Solanum lycopersicum: one gene and its partners. The protein of the gene in region 2 interacts with the protein of the main gene of each other region in a pairwise test. Links are inferred from orthologs where the notes say so. Each region holds a gene or a part of one and is shown on either strand. Other genes may lie near its edges.

Evidence for each region.
Region 1: the proteins of B3 domain-containing transcription repressor VAL2 (region 2) and CSN4 interact in binary tests that used the Arabidopsis thaliana proteins (3 or more experiments, as listed by UniProt). The link is inferred for Solanum lycopersicum from reciprocal best matches to the Arabidopsis thaliana genes HSL1 and COP8.
Region 3: the proteins of B3 domain-containing transcription repressor VAL2 (region 2) and PLASTID TRANSCRIPTIONALLY ACTIVE protein 6, chloroplastic interact in binary tests that used the Arabidopsis thaliana proteins (3 or more experiments, as listed by UniProt). The link is inferred for Solanum lycopersicum from reciprocal best matches to the Arabidopsis thaliana genes HSL1 and PTAC6.
Region 4: the proteins of B3 domain-containing transcription repressor VAL2 (region 2) and protein PEP-RELATED DEVELOPMENT ARRESTED 1, chloroplastic interact in binary tests that used the Arabidopsis thaliana proteins (3 or more experiments, as listed by UniProt). The link is inferred for Solanum lycopersicum from reciprocal best matches to the Arabidopsis thaliana genes HSL1 and AT5G48470.

What each region holds. Positions count from the first base shown.
Region 1 is NC_090803.1:66,278,487-66,284,125, reverse strand, and holds the start of CSN4 (COP9 signalosome complex subunit 4), read right to left. Parts: upstream 3,242-5,639; 5' UTR 3,133-3,241; coding exon 3,003-3,132; intron 1,921-3,002; coding exon 1,769-1,920; intron 822-1,768; coding exon 718-821; intron 617-717; coding exon 556-616; intron 1-555. UniProt on the Arabidopsis thaliana protein: Component of the COP9 signalosome complex (CSN), a complex involved in various cellular and developmental processes such as photomorphogenesis and auxin and jasmonate responses.
Region 2 is NC_090809.1:57,732,617-57,738,259, forward strand, and holds the start of B3 domain-containing transcription repressor VAL2, read left to right. Parts: upstream 1-2,240; 5' UTR 2,241-3,114; coding exon of another isoform or gene 3,115-3,136; coding exon 3,137-3,227; intron 3,228-5,101; exon of another isoform or gene 5,102-5,126; coding exon of another isoform or gene 5,127-5,184; intron 5,185-5,643. UniProt on the Arabidopsis thaliana protein: Transcriptional repressor of gene expression involved in embryonic pathways, such as LEC1, ABI3, and FUS3. Repressor of the sugar-inducible genes involved in the seed maturation program in seedlings.
Region 3 is NC_090803.1:56,303,329-56,308,560, reverse strand, and holds the end of PLASTID TRANSCRIPTIONALLY ACTIVE protein 6, chloroplastic, read right to left. Parts: coding exon 5,121-5,232; intron 2,146-5,120; coding exon 2,056-2,145; intron 1,968-2,055; coding exon 1,851-1,967; 3' UTR 1,436-1,850; downstream 1-1,435. UniProt on the Arabidopsis thaliana protein: Essential protein involved in plastid gene expression and in chloroplast biogenesis.
Region 4 is NC_090808.1:43,956,036-43,960,565, forward strand, and holds the end of protein PEP-RELATED DEVELOPMENT ARRESTED 1, chloroplastic, read left to right. Parts: intron 1-80; coding exon 81-149; intron 150-243; coding exon 244-414; intron 415-2,040; coding exon 2,041-2,184; intron 2,185-2,323; coding exon 2,324-2,464; intron 2,465-2,544; coding exon 2,545-2,610; intron 2,611-2,742; coding exon 2,743-2,802; intron 2,803-2,932; coding exon 2,933-2,977; 3' UTR 2,978-3,397; downstream 3,398-4,530. UniProt on the Arabidopsis thaliana protein: Plays an essential role in early steps of chloroplast development. May be involved in the redox control of plastid gene expression by maintening the redox state around chloroplast nucleoids.

The DNA of each region.
Region 1 (5,639 bases), on a different chromosome or scaffold from region 2:
AATATAGAAATAAAAAAGAAAGAACGAAAGATTTTTCCTTTATCTAATGTGTTGTCTCATGTAGTAATTATCTTTTTCAATTGGGAGATATGGTTGTGTGGACTATAGTTTACTCATGAAGATTCCATAACTACTACAAAAATGGAAAGTTCAACACAATTAGAATTTCTTTTAATTGGAAGCAGCTACTAATTCATGATATGGCATGTATAGAATCAAAACTTCATTCTAGATTCTATGAGAATTTTTAAGAAAGCCTTTTGTATAATATTCCCGTAATCAATACGCTTGCACTACAACAACGCCCTATAGCTCAAACTAGCAAGTTATTAATTGTTTTCTTATAAATATCAACAATTAGTTAACCAAACTAAAAAAATTGATAGGTCGCTCCAGCACATATATTGATGAATTGATTTCGCCTCTTCCTCTTTAGAGCAGATCAATTGTCAGGCAAGTTGAAAGGTGCACTACCAAACCAAACAAGGATCGTTAACTTGGATATGTTTACTTGGCATTAGAAGTATAGAAAGAAAAGAAAAAGAAAAATCCAACCTCCAGATAGAGACGAGCAATTTGGACACATTTTGAAATTCTGAATGTATCATCAACGAATCTGCAGAAGAAGCAGTGCGAAGATAGAAATTTCAGCTTCCAAAGATAAGTTAAGGGACACAGCAGCAGGCAAGCAAAGATAAGTAGAAGTGTAACACAGACCTCATTGCAGAGTCTAAATCGATGCCACTAAGCATCTGAGCTGCTTTTGACCATTGTTGCTCAGACTCATATAATTCTGCAAGTTTTTCCCGAATGATCAACACCTGAAAATATGGGATTTTGTTTTAGAAATGGGCAGTAAAAACATAAAAGATCAAAAGAACCTGTATGTGGAGATCTCTTGATGACAACAGACAATATGCTGAGTTCCAATTTTGACCTTCATTTGTACCATTTTCTCAAAACTAAAATACTCAAGACACACATCAAATTTTAAGATAACTATGATTTCCGGAAAAACTTTTTAATCCCAAGATAAACAAATAATTCTGTGACTTTGGCGCTAGCCCACTCTCACAAAATTCAGTTCTTAAAATCACTTCCATCGAAAAGGAATCAAAGGTGTCAATGCAATAGTTCCATCCAACACCAACTCAAAAAACACACTTCATAATAAACAACCCCATGGTCCCAATGTGGGTTGTGGCCCGTGTATTGAGTTCCTGGTACTACACTCAAATTCTTTTCTAGCCTATTATTTTAACTGGTTTTAATAAAAATAGAGATGCTAACTTTAATGGTCAATTAGAAAGAGATTACTTTCTGAAAGACAATTATTTGGAAATTTGCCATCCTTTTTTCTGATAAGTACTTCCCATCCCATAATTAGTAAAAGAACGTGATTTCAATCGTTAAAACAGGCCTTCTCTTTAGGTGGCAGAGATATTGTCATGCTGATTCAATAATTCTCTTTCTTCATACCATGTTCCTCTCTGTATTTTTTCTTGATAGAGCATTCTTGCTGTTCTCTTATGAAGTTTTAAGAAATGAAATTACAAACATCCAAATGCTACACCCTTACAAATACATATGCACCACCTGATGCAACAGACAAAGCAAAATAAAGACAAACTGATGCTAGTGACATTCTGAAGCACCAAATTTTAGAGATATATAAGGCATTAATGTAAGTCCAAGTATCGTTCACTATGGGCTGCAAAGGAGTTGTCAAGAATCTGACAATTAACAAAATAGAAATATCAAAGCATACTTGTTCTTCAAAGGACACCACACGAGGCTGTATCTGGTTGAGAGTATAGTGTGCTACTTCCTTTTGAACATCAGGTTCCAATCTATCGAATTCCTGGGCAAATGTCTGCAATAGCTGTCTAGATACCACCAAGGGCACGTCATCCGATAGCACTGCATAATGTACACACTCAATCAAACAACAGCGGCTCAACCCCAAATTAGTTAGAATCTGACTATAAATATTCTATTTAGATTTCAGCTGAGAATATACAACGTGAATATAAAAATTACAGGAAAAATTAAGATTAGACAGCTGGATGGTGATTGCACTGCATAGTCATACACAATCTCAATCAAACAGTGGCTCAATCGCAAACCAACTGGAATCTGACTGCATAAATTGTCTATACATATTATTTCAGCTAGACGTATACAACATGAAAAATAAAACAAGTTGCAAAATTATGATTAGATAGTAACTACACTGCATAATCGTACAGTCTTAATCAAACAGCGGCTCAATCTCAAACCAGTTAGTATCTGACTATATAAATCATCTATATCTATTTCAACCGAGAAATCTACAACATAAACATAAAATTAACAGAAAATTGAGATGAAATAGTTGCTGCAATGCATAAATCACACACAATCTCAATCAAACAGCGGCTCAATCCCAAACTAGTAAGAATATGAGAATATATAAATCTTCTATATCTATTTCAGCTGAGAGACATAAAACATGAATGCAAAATAAATAGCAAAATTATGATGAGATAGTAACTGAACTGCATAGTCGTAAATAAACTTAAATCAAAATAACGGCTCAATCTCAAACCAGTTAGAATCTAACTATATATATCTTCTATATCTATTCCAGCTGAGAAATATACAACATGAAGATAAATTAACAGCAAAATTATAATGAGGCAGTAACTGCACTGCATAACCAAACACATTCTCAACCAACCAATGGCTCAATCCCAAACCAGATAGAATATGACTATATAAATATTCTAACATCTGTTTCAACTGAGAAATATAAAACATGAACATAAATTAACAGCAAAACTGTGATGAGATTATAACTGGCGCGACATAATTGTACACAATCTCAATCAAACAACCTCTCAATCTCAAACCGGTTACAATCTGACTATATGAATCTTCGAACATCTATTTCAGCTGAGAATTATAGAACATGAACAAAAAATTAACAGCGAAATTATGATGAAACAACGAGAAAAACTTACTGTGATCGATGAATTGCTTGGCTTGTTGGATATCGCTTGATGCAAGAACGGTGGACAGAATGTGCTTGTACTGTTCGATTTTCTGGCGTTGGTCGCTGATCGCAGAGGCACTAGCGAACGCACTCTCCATTGCGATTTAGGGTTTATCTCTGAGCTAATCTTCTCGAATACGCAATTTGGAGTGTCTCGTCGAGTTCTTTTTCGAAGCGTTAATGGAGCTTATGAACCAAAATTTTGGCATATAAATAGGGATTTGAAAGTCGATTTATAATCTGTTGCCCGCTGTGGTATATGGGCTCGGACACAACTTCGAACTAATTTTATTTTTTTAAAAAGAAAAAGTGATAAAATTATTATTTCGGTTCAAATTTATGTAGGATAATTTTCACATGTAGCATATATAAAATTTATATTTGTATGTTATAACAAAGTTCATATAATTGCGCTTTGTAACAAATATATTTAATAGCAAACATATATATGTATAATTTGCTATACATATACAATTGAAGCGAATTGTATAAAACGAAGTGTATAAAATGAGAAAGAAAAAGAGACTTGGGCATAAAATTGTATAAAATGAAATGTATAAAATGAATTATATAATTATAAGTGTATAAGACGATTATATACAATTTGAATTTGTATAAAATGAGAAAGAGAGAATGACAAAAGAGACTTGGGCAGGGAATATACAATTGAATCAAATTGTATAAAACGAGAAGGAGAGAGACAAAAGAGACTTGGGCGGAAGAGTACTTTTATTGTATAATTATAAGTGTATATGACAAAAATATATGTATTTACATGTGTATATACAATTTTCTCTCGATTTATATGATTAGAAACACAACTTATACAATTCTATTGTATAAAGCGAGAGAGGCAAGCGATAGGGAGAGAGAGAGAGAGAGTGACGAGCGAAAATATGAGGGAGAATGAGACTGACAAACAGTTTGCTATGAAACACAAATAAATCAAACAATAGCTATTATATTTATTTTACGGACAAGGGCCTAAAATACCCTTAAAGTATTCAAAATGGTACAAAATTACCCTTCATCCACCTATTGGCTCCAAAATGCCCTTTTCATCCAGCTATTGGCTCCAAAATACCCTTGTCATCATCTTTGGGTTCAAAATTGACCACTTTTTTTAATTGTTTTAAAATTTAACTCTTTAAATATTTTTAAAAATACTTGGCGTTCAACTATTGATTATAATTATAATTTTTTAATATAATTTATTAACCAACCCACTACTCACTCATTACTAATTAAACCTCACCCAATTAATAATCCAATTATAATATCAAAATCATCATAAACACTAGTAAAACACGATGAAATTATAGATTCCTGAAAATGACATTCAAAATTATTCGAGTCCGAATCGAAGTCCCAATTAAATTTAGGTTGAGCCGCTTATTTAGAAGGACACTTTCTTTCAAAATTGAATTAGAAATTCATGATTAAAGGTAAAGAAGTAATACATCCCGAACTAATTCATGCTCTTTTTTAAAATATAATTTTATAAATATTTATGATTTGTTTTAAAACCTTTAATATATTATTTTGAAAGAAAGTTACCTATGAAGTAACATCACATAATTGAGACATAAGAATAATTAAAATGAACATAGTCAGACTTTTAAGTTTATCGGTGATTTTTATTTAGCCACTTGAATGTATGATAATTTACCTCTATAATTTTTAAAAACACTCAATTGGCAGTAGCTTGCATTAATAATGTGACGGATTCATTAATTTAGAGGGATTTGATTAGTAATGGGATGGGTAGTGGATTGATTTATAAATTATACTAATAAGTTAAATTATAACAAAAAATTGAGTTTCACGTATTTTAAAAAATATTTAAATAGTTTAATATAAAACCGTTAAATAAGTGGTCAATTTTGAACCAAAAGGTGGATGACAAGGGTATTTTGGACCCAATAGGTGGGTGGGAAGGGTATTTTGGAGCCAATAGGTGGATGGAGGGTAATTTTGTACCATTTTCAATACTTTAAGGGTATTTTAGGTCCTTTTCCGTTTATTTTATATTATTAATTTGTTATGTTATACAATTACCTAAAAGTTATTCAAAATCAAATTACAATCTAACAAGTCAAACACAATTTCACAGCATTAACTTACTGTTCTTGGATTAATACATTATAAAAAATAATTACTGATTTTAGCGATATTTTTTGCTTATTACCATTTAGGACACTTACTGACATAATAAGCTCAGAGAGTCGCTTGTCCAGCAATTCATCAAATTTATCAAGTAATATGAACACCAAATCAAATCGCGAAAGCAAAGCACCATTCATTCTTCAAGTTCTCGTTCACAGTTTTTGCACGGCTGCAAGAATTTTTTCACACATTACCACCACAGTTAAAAGACCAATATGTAATGCAAGTATTCCCATGATCTATGCTTACATAATTATACGAGATAGATTTGTAACAAAACTTTTCGAACTAAGACTTAAGCCGTTAACCATAGTGAGATAAATTTCACCGAGGAATTTAAAATTTCATAAGTATTAAGGTCAGTTCACTAGATTTAGCACCTTGAGTTCCAAAAAGAATTAAATTGGAAATAGCAAAATCTAAAAATTTGCAAGTTAAG
Region 2 (5,643 bases):
TTTATTGACACTTGGCATTATAATTAACTTAAAATATATTTTATTCTTTATTTTCACTTTTTTCAAAAAAAAAAACACCCCACTCTCTATCTAACATCTTCTTCATAATTTAGTTTACAAAACTTTCTTCATTTTAGCTCCAACGCTATTTTTTTTCTTTTTTTTTTATATACAAAAAATTTATATCTTCCAAATATGAAGATAAATGAAAATCTACTATAAAGATTCAGATTTGAAAGAAAGTCTTCGTATGATTTATTTCAAATCTCATAAAAACAAGGAAAATGAAAAAAGATAAATGACTTTTACATATAAAAATAGTTAGCCGATATTTATTTATCACAATTTTCGAACAAAGATTTTTACTCAAATTCATATGTGGTCATTAAATTTATCAAAAATGATATAAAAAATTTGGAAGAAATAATTTTGGGGTTATCAATTTCATTTTGTCATAGATGTAGAATTGAATAACCGCCAACAAAATTTTCTTTCTTCTTCACTCTTAGTATGAAAAAAAAAAATCTTGAAGTTATTTGAAAAGAATAAGATTTTGTAATTTGAGAAAGAATGTGTTTTGGAGAAGAAGATGAAGATGAAAGGGGGTTGGAGTGGGGTGGGGGTAAGGTGTGATAGAATAGGTAGACATTTTCATTATTCTTTTTCTTTTTTAAAAAATTAAATATTAAACGTGTGTTTTTTTTATAATTTTTGGTCCAATGCCAAATGTTATTTTTTAATTAGTCATGTTGCCACGTCACCGCAAGTGTATCACACACTCTTCACATTTTTTGTTGATTATAAAAAAAATGTCTAATAGAAATGATTATTATATAGGTAAAAATGTTCAATTGGTACTAATATTAGTTGAAATGTCTAAGCGAATTATGCAGAGAACTTTAAGGAACCTGATTGACTTAACTTTTTGAAAATCTCTCTATGTTTGTTACATATAGGGAAAAAAAAAAGTAATGTCAGTCACTCACCCCTCATCACCTAATTTTTTAGTTAATGGTTTTTGGTTAAAGATTTGATAAGCATGATGTCATTGTAGTATTAGGATATAGCACGCGTAGAAGAAGTAATCAATTAGGGGATTGAATAAACTAATTTTGATTTGTTTACTTATCTGTTTAATTACGCAATGATGATTAATCTTAGTTCTAATCTTATCGTACACACTAAGCCAAAAGAACCATACTTGAAAAGCAAAGTGGATTTTTGTCCTTTTGATTAGGACTCCCACTTCCTAAATGAGCCATTTGTTTTATTGCACCGTTTTTTATTTTATTTTATATGAGTTAGTTCGAATCGGTAGAAAATTTTTAAATGAAAAGAAAACTTTTGAAATTTATTTGAGATAAGTGATATTTCTTGTGTTTAAAAAAAAAAGATTTTATTTTCTTCTTAATCTGTTTAAAAAAGAATGTTTCGTTTTTTTTTTTACAATAATTTAACTTTAACTTTCCATGTGACATATTTAAGACCACAAGATTAAAGAACATTTTGATATATTTGACATAACTTTAATTTAGAACCACAAGATTAACAAGTCTTCTTTCTTTTCTTAAATTTCATTATAAGTCAAACTAGGTCATCCTTTTCGTTAATATCCTTTTTTTAACGAAGAGAGTAGATATTTGTGTTGTTATAAGTTATTTTATAAAAAGTAAAATAAATATTTTAATGTTAAATTGTTACTTGCTATATAAACATGTCATTCTTGTTTGAGGTAACTAAAAAGAAAAATAAATCAAATTTAGAGAAAAATGTACAAAACACTTTTTTTATTAAAAAACTCGTTTAAGACCCTTTTGTAGAGCTTTCATTAAAAAACCCGTTTAAGACCCCTTTGTAAAGCTTTCAAATTTCGTACTTACTTTTTAAGGGGAGTTATTTTCTAATCGATTTTAAATTGTGAAAAGTTGATTATTACTATTTTTTCAAGTTATTTTCTTTCACACACAAAACTTCTCTACACTAATAACAACAACAACGGAGATTCTAGAAAAGATATAATGTATGCATGTATCATCTTTTACCTAAAAATAGAGATATTATTATGGATTAAAGTACATGAAATATTATACAAACAAGATAACTAATGGTAACAAGACAATGATTATAATTGAATCATGTGATGACCAAAAATATAAGATAATAAGTAATAAAAATCAAAGAACTAGAAATTACGAGTGCAACACTAACTACTAATATGAACAGATGATAAAACAACACACGATGACCTTCTAATTTTCTATCCTAATTTGTGTCCTCCCTAATCTTTCTACGTAAGATCCTAAGCATCTATTTCCAGCCCTCATCAACACACGTCCATTCATACACATTCATTTCTACTATTTTCTCGTTTTATCTCTGTTTATATAAATTATCTATAGCCAATCACTCACACATCCACACTAGAACATCAAAACATATCACTTTCAAATGTTCAAAATTATCTCGATCTTTAACTTCCGCACCAAAGCCACTTCCAAATGTACCTATTTTAATCCTATCTCTTCTAGAACAACGAGAGAGGTTACAACATAGTTGGTCTTAACTATTACTTTGCATTTAGTCACAAAACTTGTATGTTTTTGATCAAATTATATAAACATAAGCTTTCTTTTCAATGTTCAAAAGAAAAGCTGATATGATAAAGTGAAAAAGAAATTGAGCAGAGAGAGACGTTAGTGGAAGAAGAACTGAAAGAGAAAGGCGGGCGACCTTTGCTGACCCTTCAAGTCTCTCCCTCCCTGCATGTCCCCTTTTCCATTTTTGAACTGTTTTACACTTTACGCTTCTCTCTCTCTCCCAATTCCACCGTTCCGGTACCGGAAATTCAACAAACTTCCCTAATATTTCTCTATCACAAATTTTAAAACAGACCCACAAACACTGCAGCTTACTAGCTTTAGTTTTATGTCTTTAACTTTTGTTTTCAAGATTCTTGCTTCACACTTATTATTCAACTATTTCATACTTGGGTTTTTCTAAAGACTTCATTTTTAGCTTTAAAAAAAAACTTTTTTTTTTTTGGGTTTTGCGTATGGAGTATTAAGAGGAAGATTATGCTGTATTAGGGCTTGATTAGAGGTAAGGATTTTAGGAATGGAGTCGAAGATTTGCATGAATGGACTGTGTGGGACAACTTCTTCAATTGAGTGGAAAAAAGGGTGGCCTTTGCGATCTGGTGAATTTGCGACCCTCTGTGATAAGTGCGGGTAATTCAATTCAGATCTCACTCTCTCTTTATACTTAATTTATATATGTTTGTAAATTCAGTTTTGTTGTTCTTTTTGTTTTGTAGAAACTGGTTTGCCTAGTGCTCAACTCTGTTTGATCATTTTATATGATAACATTACCATTTAGAATGTCAAACAGTGATTTTTCATTGTAAAAATGTTCTGACTTATATACTCTTTGTATAGGTTTTGAATTTGCTTATTTTATTCGAGAAAAGATTAAGGAATCAATGTCCTACTAATTGAGATGGTTTGAAATTTGTTTATTGAGCTGATTGTTCTTTTTTGAAACGGAAGAAGTATTTACAATCTGAACAGTTTCTGTGTTTATGTTAAGGTTACTGTGTTGGTGAATACTGTAGCAGCTCGGAGAATTATCCTTTTTGTTTTGCTGAAAGATATTTGCTAAATCATGTTCTTTTATCCGACTGTTCTTTAATTCGACTAAACAATTACTTTACCTTTTCAAATTAGAGATTGCATATTCAATTTGAGAGAATTAATTCTATTGGGATAATATGTTCCTAGTCCAGTTCATGCACCCTAGTAATGGTTGCTCAAACTGACTCTAGTTCTGGAAAGATTAAAGATCCTGCAAGATCAAAATGTGGGAAAGATAATCCTTCTTCTTTCTGTTTCACTTGTTGTCTTTTAGGAAGTCAGTGCAGATTAACCTGCTTACGTTCTCCTAAGGATTTGTATTATCTGTGATTCTTGCTGTGTCATAGGGAGGTTTTTCTTGGCTGAGATCAGGAGCATGGGCTTATGATCTAAGTGAGGCCGTTGAAGCGAGCCAGAATTTTTAATAAGGGGGTTCAGAATCTGAAGAAATAAACACATGAAGTAGCCGAAGGGGGTTCGACATCTATCGTATATACCTAAAAATTTATTTTAACCATGTAACAATAATATAATTTTCCGCCGAAGGGGGTTCGGATGAATCCCTAGTGATAAGGTGGCTCCGCCCCTGTGTTGAAGTGATGGCATAACTTTTTTTTTCTTTCCAGAATTGTCTATTTGGTTCCATGTTAAGTTACTGTGGAGCAACTTTGTCTTTTTTTGCTCTTTTTGGCCTTTATATGAAATAGAGATTGCATGCAGTGATTTCACTTACAGTAAATAATACAGTGCTGATGGAATGAAACTATTTTATTATTAATATTTGTTATTTTTTTCCCTTTTGTTTTGTTTTGTTTGTTTGTTTTACTTCTGTTATTTTTCTGTTTATCTTTTGTTTCTTGGTCAGGATAGATGACTGGTAGTTAAATTCATGATAAACTTAGATCTTTTGCAATCTACCGCCTGCATTGCCGAAAGGAAAAACATTCACTTTAACTTTGGAATAAAATGTAGCTAATGACAGTTTCACCATAAACTGAAAACTGAAACTAATGCAGAGTCTTAGGGCATCCAGTTTGAGAAATTATATCTGGAACGCTTCTAGTGTAGACACATTTGCATAAAACTTATTGATGCCAAAGCAATTCCTGGTATAGTCGATGTAAGCACAAGTTGAATCGGACACCACTATTATTAAAAAAATAATTAAAAAGATTCAATGGCGATATATTGGAATATGGTGGTAACCAATTAGAATTGAAGACCACGTAGTTGTAGAGTTGTATCACTGACTCAGGAGCCTGCCCATTCATTAATGAGCAAGATTCTCTTCAGTATTGAGTGGCAAAATCACAAACCACTGCCATTAGTGGGTTGAACGGAAACTTCTGAGCCCTTTTTTCTTAAAAAGTTAAGATGGTTCGAGGACCAACTTGCGCTAGCATATGTTAACTAATCCATCAGCACAGATATCACATAATTCTCGGTAATTCTGACCATCATGACTTAGGCAGACTGCAGATGGGATGAATTGACCTAATGCACCTACTGGGAGCAAGCTTTGATTCCTACGGTTTTCAGTCTAACTCTTCGACTGGTACGCCTCCCCCTTGTCGGCCTTCTATAGTGTTCACTCTTTTCTTGCCCAATTCATGCAGGCAAAGGGTTACTATAGTTTCATGACTTATTTTATACATTCTGTTCTTGTTAATATGAGATCAGTTTTTCTTCCCAAATGTCAACTCACTTAGAGTAGATGACCATCATTTAGCAATCTGTGGACGCCTTTCTCTGAGTGTACTGATTTCATCTCAAATGCAATGGTAGATTATCTCTTACGCCTAAAAGGTCTATTGACTAAGTTCTCTTTGCTTGAATGGTGGAGAGTATAGATTTTAAAAAGTAGTTCTTCATGCTGATGACGCCAGAATCATACTAACTAAATACTTAGAAATAAGTATGTTGAAAGTAATTGAATTTGGAAACTTGGAGGAATAAAAGAATTTACCTTAAGTTTTAATACAAAATTCTGGCAAGCCGAGTACTGTCAAATGGT
Region 3 (5,232 bases), on a different chromosome or scaffold from region 2:
GAATTGTTAGTAATCCGGGTAATTAGTGATAATTGAATGATTTCCGTATCACATTGATTGTTTGTAGACCAAGAACAAGCGGAACAAATTCGGGAAGGGAAGGATCAAGTTTCTTAGGTTTCAAACTTGTTTCGACGTAGGTGATGGTTGTGATTATATGATGTATGTTTGTTGACAATATCTAACAAAAGGATGAAAATTATTAACTTTCAAATACTCGGAGGATGTTTTTTGTCAAAAAAAGATATATTTACTTAAGATATAATTTAAACTTAGGGTATAGGTTAAAGATGTTTTTGACCAAGAACTCTTCTCGAAAATGCCCGAGTTTTGCAGTTTGTCAAATTGCTTACTTCTCCTAAAAACATTTTGCTACTACAAAGAAAAACTATTTCCCCAAGGAAGTCTCAAGCATGTCAAAATGAGTTTGTCTAAGCAACACCATATTTTATCTTTATTTATTACAAACATTCAGAATATACATGTCTTATTTTGAGAGTTTTCTGTTGGAATCAACAATTTGGTACTAGTTGGCATTGCAATACATGTTTTACTGGATTATTGTAATAAATTTCTCCAATTGATGCTTTACCTATTTCAATGTAATCTAATCATAAAACTAGGAAAATTACTCGCGCCTCGCGCGGAAACTTAATATCAAAGAATTTATAAAATAATATTTTAAATCTATTAGTTATTAAAACTAAAACACTGTATTATCTCATATACAAGATTATTACGTGGTAACAAACATTAATAATGTAAAGAAAATGAAATTTATTACATCCTATCATTTATCCTTACTAACATAAACATATTAATGACTTAATAAATTATACTAAGATCTGTTATATAAGCAATCATCAGTGAGCCACTCAACAGGAACAAAGTACATAAATATTAGTTGTGAAGAATAAGAAGAGGAGGAGGAAGTGATTTAGAATTTTCGTTGTTTTAAAGTGAGAGGAAATTCTTTTATTTATAAACAACAAAGGGTACCGTGCACAAATGTTTATTATACCTTATCTGAAAGGCTAAAACTATTTGGAAAAGTTGCAACCTTCCGAAAGCTCACAACCTTTCATAAAAATCACATCTCTTTATAAAAGTCGCAATTCTTCATAAAAGTCGTAATTCTTCATAAAAGTCACAACTCTTCATTAAAGTCACAACTCTTCATGAAGTCGCAATTTTTCATAAAATGAGAAGGCTACTTTTGAAAATAAATAAATTTAAAAGGGAATTCTGGTTTGTGGTGGTGCCACACAGACAGGTCGAAGATTTTCTATATATATATATATATATATGATTCTACACTGATCATGATCATGATGACATACTCGAAAACTGGTTTACTTCGAAAAAGCAGAAATGATGACTTATGATACTAAAGAACCAAAACAGATGTTGGTAATAGTTAAAAGAGAAGAAAAAATTGACTGTAAAACAGTTGAACAAAATTTGAAGCAAATTACACTGCACTGTACTCCAAATTCCTCCAGCTTTCATAATTAGGAGAGAAATTGTTTCGATTGCTTTACGATAATGTTACTGGTTCAAGTTTTGCACATTTTCTTGTACTAGAAATACTATGAATTTTAACTGCTACATTACCTTCTACCTAAGCTCACCGTAAACCTTCATCCAGTGATCATTTTCACAAGTCATAATGTAAGATTAAGATTCTGAAATTTGGAAGCAGTTGGCTCTATCGGCGTTCAGCACCATGAACAATTTCGGATTAACCTGATTGTTTCCTTCAGCTATTAGGGTATTCAATCCGTCCACCTCTTCCAGCAATTCTGAGGTAACTACCACAGAAATATTCGACAATGGTATTCATTGGCCAACTAAAACCAATTTGAAACACTGAAATCCCTTAGCTTACTAAGATGTCTTTCCATGTCTTGCCTTGTCTTCTTCCACTCTTCTTTCTCTATCACAGTGGTAAAATCATCTCTTTCCTCCTACATTAATATGATGCTCCCTCATCAGAGATGGATAGACAGCGATAATAATACAGAGATAAGAAAGAATTGGAGTAAGAATACTCACTGATGGTATAATTTTGAATGAGTTCCCGTTATCACGGATGACAAGTAAATCATTCTTCCTATCCCTGCTTTTTCCTCCAGGAACTGTCACCTGTTTTTGGAACACAAAATAACTTTTTAATACTAACGATAAATGATTTGAGAAACCAAAGGCTACAACCAGATGCTCAATGTCTACCAGTTGAAACAGATTTTGATGGGAAATGTCTAACTTTTTGCAGCCAATATCTCACTGTAACAAAGCATTTCTTCATTCTCCACACCATAACAACAATAAAAAGGATAATGATGCAATGAATTTTTACACAAGTGTTTAGTTTTTTCTCTTTCTTTTCAAAATTCTTTCTTTTTTTTTTCTCGGAGAAAGGCGAGGTGGGAAAGAATGATCATTTTCTTGTCCACTACAGTTTCTTTCATTATATTTTGCAGACAGCCTAACTATAGTTGTATCTGATGTGCCTCCCAACAAAAGAACAACAAAATTATAATTAAAACACTTAATATAATAATGCTTACAACAGCTGTAATAAGCCACAATAAGCACTATTATCGAAAAGAGGGTCTGTGAAGAGCTATTGTCACTGTGCAGTTACATCTGGGACAATATATTTAAAAGTTGTAATAAAAGCTCTTTCATTGGATACTAGTATTTACCAACAAGAAATTGCACATCAGACTCATAAAGATAAGTACATCAAAATGCAAACCTATTATAACAATAAAACTGGACTTTTAGGGAGTGGTAGAAATATATATATCAAAGTTATCATTTTCAAATGAGTTCAAGACCTTAAAGAAAGGGCAAGTTACACGTATCTGCGTTGAACATATTTCGAACATTTCTGATACTTTTTCTTATGTTTTTCAATCAGAAATACAATATCTCCTAAACTTTTTATCATTAAATCATGTATTTTATTTTATTTTTTGAAACTGGTAAATGTGTGAATTCATGTATTTAATCATTCAAACTTTATACCTTTTCTACAGACTAAATCCTACATAGACAATGCAAAAGGGATAAAATGAAAAAAACAATAAATAAATAAATAAGAGAAAAGCCGTATTTCTGTAGTTGTTACACATTTGAAAGAAGATGAGTAATATTTGGGACTGCTGATAAGGTATGCTTCAGAAGTATTCCAAACCTTTCCCTTAAAAATTCTTCCATCCAACCTTACCTTTCTCAGGAAAACTATATTTAAAGTACACATGTTACTTCCCTTAGACTCGTTACCTTGTTCGACTGAACAATCCAACTTTCATGTCTAATAGTATGTAAGATGTTCCGAGCATACCTTGTCACTTACTTTTCAAGGGCTTTGCAAGGGAAGTCCTACTATAAAATGCCAAGAAAAGAAACAGAGAGACAGCTAGAAAATGAGTCTTTGTAAATAAAGAATTGATAGGAAATATGGCTGTGTTAGGGGTTCAGATTCTTGTCTTTTTAACCTAATTTTATGTTTCATTGTGTAGCAGTGATCACTGATTGTGCAACACTCTGTCAATTGAAGCATTTAAGAAAAGCATAATTATGGGACGAAGAAAAATCTTTAATACAAGGCAGAATAAGCAGTTAGAGAAAGGATAACAGTTTTATGTCCAACCACCCAGCAAGCGAAAGTAGGAAAGGTTGAGTCCAATTAGAAATATTACAAATAAAGGTAACTGTTGTTAAACAAGGTGTTATTTCCACCTAACTATTCTATTAAAATCTAGAGGCAATCTAAAGAACCAAAAAAGTGGATCAACATTCTCTAATTTGTATAAGAGTCTGTCCTTGTGATTCTTGATACAACGAAAGCAGCTACAATGAATTCATAACACCTATCAGAAGCTCTTTTGATGGAGGAGAAGTCAAGAACTAGGAGCTTGCTCTATCACATTCTGAAGACTATACTTGGGCATCTAATAGACCAACTCAACCAAATTTTCTCTTGAGCCGGCTCAAAGCCACATATCTTTGGCACAACATTCATTTAGAATCGACTTCTCATATTGCTCTTTGTTTGCGCTCAGATTTCAAAAATTGTTCACGACCTGTGTAGAATCCTCCAAAATGCACTATTTTAGAGGATCTGATATGCACCGATTGGCATTTTTGAAGAGGCAAATCAGCATAGGCTTTTAGAGTAATTCTAATTTCAGTCCCTAAATCATAGTCAAAACAGTTATTAACACACACACTCCTTACCTTTTCATACTAGTAGTCATAGTATTACTCAAGGAGTTTCTTGTCCCTCAATGTCACTTATTATCGTTATTACTTGCATTTTGATATCGTATTATTTTGTAGCAGTTGCATTTCTTTTTTCAAAATGCTTTGACATACTTCTTATAGTATTTTCCCATGACCTTCACTCATGTTATTTCTTTTTTCGATTAGCTTTGAAATTATTTCCTTGAGCCGACTACCTACAAGGTAGGGGGATAAGGTTTGTGTACACTAAACCCTTCCCCAGACCCCACTTGTAGGATTACACTGGATATATTGTTGTTGTTGTTGTATACTCCTTCCCTTTTCAGTATAAAAATGAAATCCTTTGGCATCATCAGCAAAGTGGAATTGGCTCTTTTGGGTCTGTTATATGACAATTCACTCCGGCTCTATTGCAAACAAAACAATTACCACTTATCAGTGCAAGGCAGCAATTGCAACCTTACCACTTCCTCTCTTCCATAGAACAAAGAAATAAATTTAAACTTAAATCCATTAGTTTTCCCCCTTTGCCTCTTACCCTCTTCCATGCAAACTCCTCCTGAACCCTGCACCCTTTCCCTTGAACAAAACAACCATTTCCCCAAATTTCTGTATTCCTTTGCACCGTATAATTTAGTCAGAATTGATTGTTGAGCGGTGTAAATTGTTAAACATCTCTTCAAAGAATTAACAATCCAATTTTTGGAACTCCAATTACACAGGCAGCAAATTCAGCTATGAAAATAAAAAAGCTATGTCCGCGAAATAAAAGATGATCGCTTTATCAGCCAAGTTACTTTTGATCAATAAAAAATTAGCTAATCTAGAAGAAAAGGTGTTCAATCAAATTTGTAATGATTCCTTACCACTACTTTGGCTCTTGTAATTGATTTGGTTTTAGAATCAATAACGTATATTTCTTCGAAATCAAGAGCAAATTCTGGATCACCTGCCCTGCGATTCCTGTAGTGCTTTGTC
Region 4 (4,530 bases), on a different chromosome or scaffold from region 2:
CATTTGATTCCTGTAGAGTACTGCATTGATACAAGAGGTTTTCTGGGTGGGTATGTGATTAACAAAGTTGTTTCTTTTAGCGCAAATCACTCTTGGAAGTTATCAAGGAGACTGTATTATCCCATCTTACCAAGAAGTGCCCCCCTCATGTGAGTATGCTAGTATGCTGAATGACTACATTATTAGCAGCATTGATGCTCTAGTCTTTGATCTGACATTGAATTGGATTTGTATGTTTTCTAGGTTCAAGTCATAGGCCTGCTCTGTAGAACTCCTCAAAAAGAAAGCAGACATGAATTGCTCAGGCGAGTTGCTGCTGGTGGTGGAGTATTTCAAAGTGAGAATGGGACAAAAGTCCATCTTCCTGGGGCAAATTTGAATGATATAGCTAACCAAGCGGATGATATTCTGGAGGTAGGCTCTTAATGTATATGCATAGTCAGGAGACTAACCAGTTTTTGGTATTTAAGTCTAAAATAATTTGTTTTGCATCAATTTCATTTGGCTGCGGGTCCCTTAGGGTGCAGGTTATTAGAAACCACAAACTTTACATGGTATGGAACATCTGGTTTGTAGAGACCATAAGGCACCACACTGTGCATTATGTAACACATTTTGGAAAATGGTTAGATCAATATTTTCATCTATTGATGTTAAAACTTCTGTTCAGCCATCTTGGTCAGACAATTTGTAGTGTTGATGCTGGTTATATGTAAGCTGTAAGAAACTTGTGCTCAATGCTGAATTCATTATTTATTTTTGTTCTCAAGTTACTGAAATATTAATTTTTTATAAAAATGAAGAAAAAAAGGCAAGTCATGGTAATGTCAAGTTTTAACAGATGCCATCTTACTTGGTTATCAGGGCCAAAAATGATACTCCCTCGTTTTCAATTTGTTTCTGTGGTTTTGACCTGACAGAGTTAAAGAAAGTAAGAAGACTTTTTCGGATCTTGTGGCCTTGAACTAAAATATGTAGAATGTACCAAAATGCTATTTAATCTTATGGTCTTAAATATGTCATGTGGAAATTTAGGAAAAGAGTTACCAAAATAGAAAAGAGACATTCTGTTTTAAACACACTAAAAAGTAAGTAAGTCAAACAAATTGAAACGGAGGGAGTACATGGGTTTCAGTTGGAAACCTAACCTGCCAAAAAGGCTTAGGGGAATCATCTTGTTTGGACTTCAATTTTTTTCGTGTCACTGTAGAGTTATCAGTTTTCAGTCATCAATAATTAAACAAATTCCTCATGTAAGTGTCAAATGGTGTTGGCGCTTTCGGCTAACTTTTCTGTATTACTCTCTTTTGACATCTGTTTGAACTTATTTGTGTTCCCCAATTCAATATATGTGATATACTTCATTCTTCGTTATCAGTTTTGACCTTTTCCATGATTTAGATATAATATCCATTTTATCCTTATTTTTGTTTTTTTATTAACTGCGGTGACCGAGCCACCTTGCATGCACCTCGACTTGTTACACAACATACTTGTCACCTCCTACTAGCAATAAACAGGTACCACATAACTTTGTCCACGGGGCTATGACAGATGAAAAAACCTCACCTAGTATTTTTGTCTCAGCTAGGATTTGAACTTGAAAACTCAGAGTCCACAACCCAGTTGATTGACCACTAGGTCACACCCTTGGGCTCCCATTTTATCCTCTTCTAGAAATAAATTTACATATTTGAAAATCACTCTGGAAGTAATATGCAATAATGGATATGGCATAGTAAAAGATTTAGTCCGGATGCTCCTTTTACTATTAGGTTTCGTTAGTTGCTTTCATGCTCTAGAATCATTTCATATTCCATTGTGAAAAAAAAGTAAAAACTGTTTCATCATGCTTAAGTAAGAGATAAAATAAGATCATGTAAATTCTCAAAAAAAAATATCATGTAATGTGATTTCTGAACCCTTAAAATCATTTATCAGATCAACGGACTTCGAAAATATTATTACTATTTGAAGGAATCCTTCACGCTAGTGTTCACTGATAAAATTATGGATTGTCTGTGACTGTCTTTGTTGCAGACGATGGAATCTCGTTCTGTTATCCCTGACAGGAAGTTACTAGCAAGGTTAGTTTTAATCAGAGAAGAAGCTAGGAACATGATGGGAGGTGGAATACTTGACGAAAGAAATGATCGTGGCCTTAATATTCTTCCTGAATCAGAGGTTTGTTACTTAAACATATATATCCCATGTCACATTTTAATTCGGTGGGCCTGTAAATCTGTGAAAAATAAACCATCTGAATGGTTATTGTACAGCTTCTGCTTTGACTACTAAATGTTAGCATTTTATGGTCATGCAGGTGAACTTTTTAACTGAACTTGTTTCCCTAAGACCAGGGAAAGCAGTACGCGACATGATAAAAAACGTGATGCTTGGTAAAGAAGAAGGTGCAGACAGTTCGAATGATGAAGTTGGTGCTGCTGGTGGAATTGCAGGAAGGGTGAGATTTTGTCCTGAGATGATGTCACTACCTTTTGAGAATTCCAAAGCTTCTCAACTATAATTTTCTTTTGTTTCCAGGCAAGTGTAAGTGGGCGAAAACCATCACCTGTGCGTCCTGGCATGTTTCTTGAAACAGTTTCTAAGGTAAGAGTTTCTCGTACATGAGATTTTTGTTATTGGACATAGTTGGCATATCTGATTCAATCTTCAGAAACATTGTAAGAAGGAGGATGGGACGATTATAATATCTTACCGCATCTTATTGCGACATTGTAGGTGTTAGGTGGCATATATGGAGGAAATGTCTCTGGAGTTACAGCACAGCATCTTGAATGGGTATACTCTTGTTAATCTTTGTTAGGGTAGCGTTTCATTTAGAAAGTTGCTTTTGTTATCAATGGCTGATTGTTTTTAACATCATTTCTGGACAAGTAGCTAATCCATATAACTTTAAATTGTGTTTCAGGTTCATCAGAACACACTTCAAATTCTTCAAGAGATTGCATTTTAGTTGTTCCTTGCACTACTTCCCAGGAACTCCCCGAGACGAATGTTAATATATCCTGCCCACTTATCTTGGAAGCTTCATAAAATTTGGTATTTGAATATTTCATAATCCATGTGTGATCTGGGGAGGAGGGTGAGGCTGCACTTTTCATCGTATACAGCAGTCTTCTTTAGATCACCAAGAATCTATGTTACTTGTGTATAGTTATCAGACGAACAGGAGTAGTTTAGAAGGTAAAATGTAGAATTTGAAGTAAAATTCTGAGGACATGTACTGTTTTTGGAAACACGAAAACATAAGTACAGGTGTTAAAAGATTTGATGCAAGTAGTTCTATATTCACTTTTATTTGTAATTTTCAATGTTGAAGTTATGTTTTGTAATATTAATATAAGACTCATTTGATCATGAGAATTTTTTAAAACATTTTTCTGGCCAAACGAGTGTACTATTAAATGGAAACATTTGGCAAATCCATCTTTGAATGATTAAGCAAACATGGGTAGAATCATACTTTTAAGGCATGTCCAATCACTAACAATGATGCTTAATGGGGATTCAAGATCAATCAAATCACAACATTAAAGGCAGATAGAAAAAAGTGTGCCCATGTGTGGTTAGGTCCTACTTGTTTCCCAGACGCCAGGAATGTTCCAATTTCCAAAAATGATGTTTAAAAATTGGAATATATCTCGTTGTTTATATTGTTCTGAGTTTTGCCAAAGGATAGGGCTTAGTGGGGCACTACTACCTTGGGAACTAATATTCGAATTCGATCACATTTTCCCATCTGCCTAAACTTTATTGTTTGGTGAGACATATTCTTTCGTCCCGTGTTGGATGAACACTTTATACTTTACACTATTATTAAAAAATTGTTAATAAGTTGATTAACTTTACTATTTTGTCATTTGATCATGCTAATTATCCTCTTGAAATTAAATTGGATCTTAAGAATTTGTTTAAACTTCCAAAGCCTTGTTAACTGTAGGGGTAATATTGAGAAAATAATTAATTTTATCTAAATTTAATAAATGATCAGATACTACAAAATAAATACTTTTAGTAAAATATTCATCTAATATGGGATCAAAGATAGTAGACAGTAGTTTGATGCATTAACCAACAAGCTTAGTTTGTATACCAACATTATTAAGAAAAGTGTGTGTTATTTGCATTTATTTGCTCAACAGTAACCACTTTAGATCAAATCTACAGTGGACTCGTGTATATTGCATAAAATTTAAAGAATATGAAATACTTCCTATGTTCACTTTCATTTCTCCGCTATTTTTAAAAATAAACTTTTACTTTTTACTTTTGAAAAAAAAAAAGATGACAAAATTCATGTTTTTCCCATAGCATTAATTGCTTACTTCATAATATACTAAACATCATTTAATAGGGATAGTATGATATGTTGGGATTTAGCAAGTGTGAATGGAAAAAGAAAAGAGAGAATATGAAAAAGTGAGGGAACTACTTTGGAAGGAAAAAAATGAAAAGTCATTTGCAAAGTGCAAATAAAGTCATTTCTCTCATATCCGCAAAACAAAG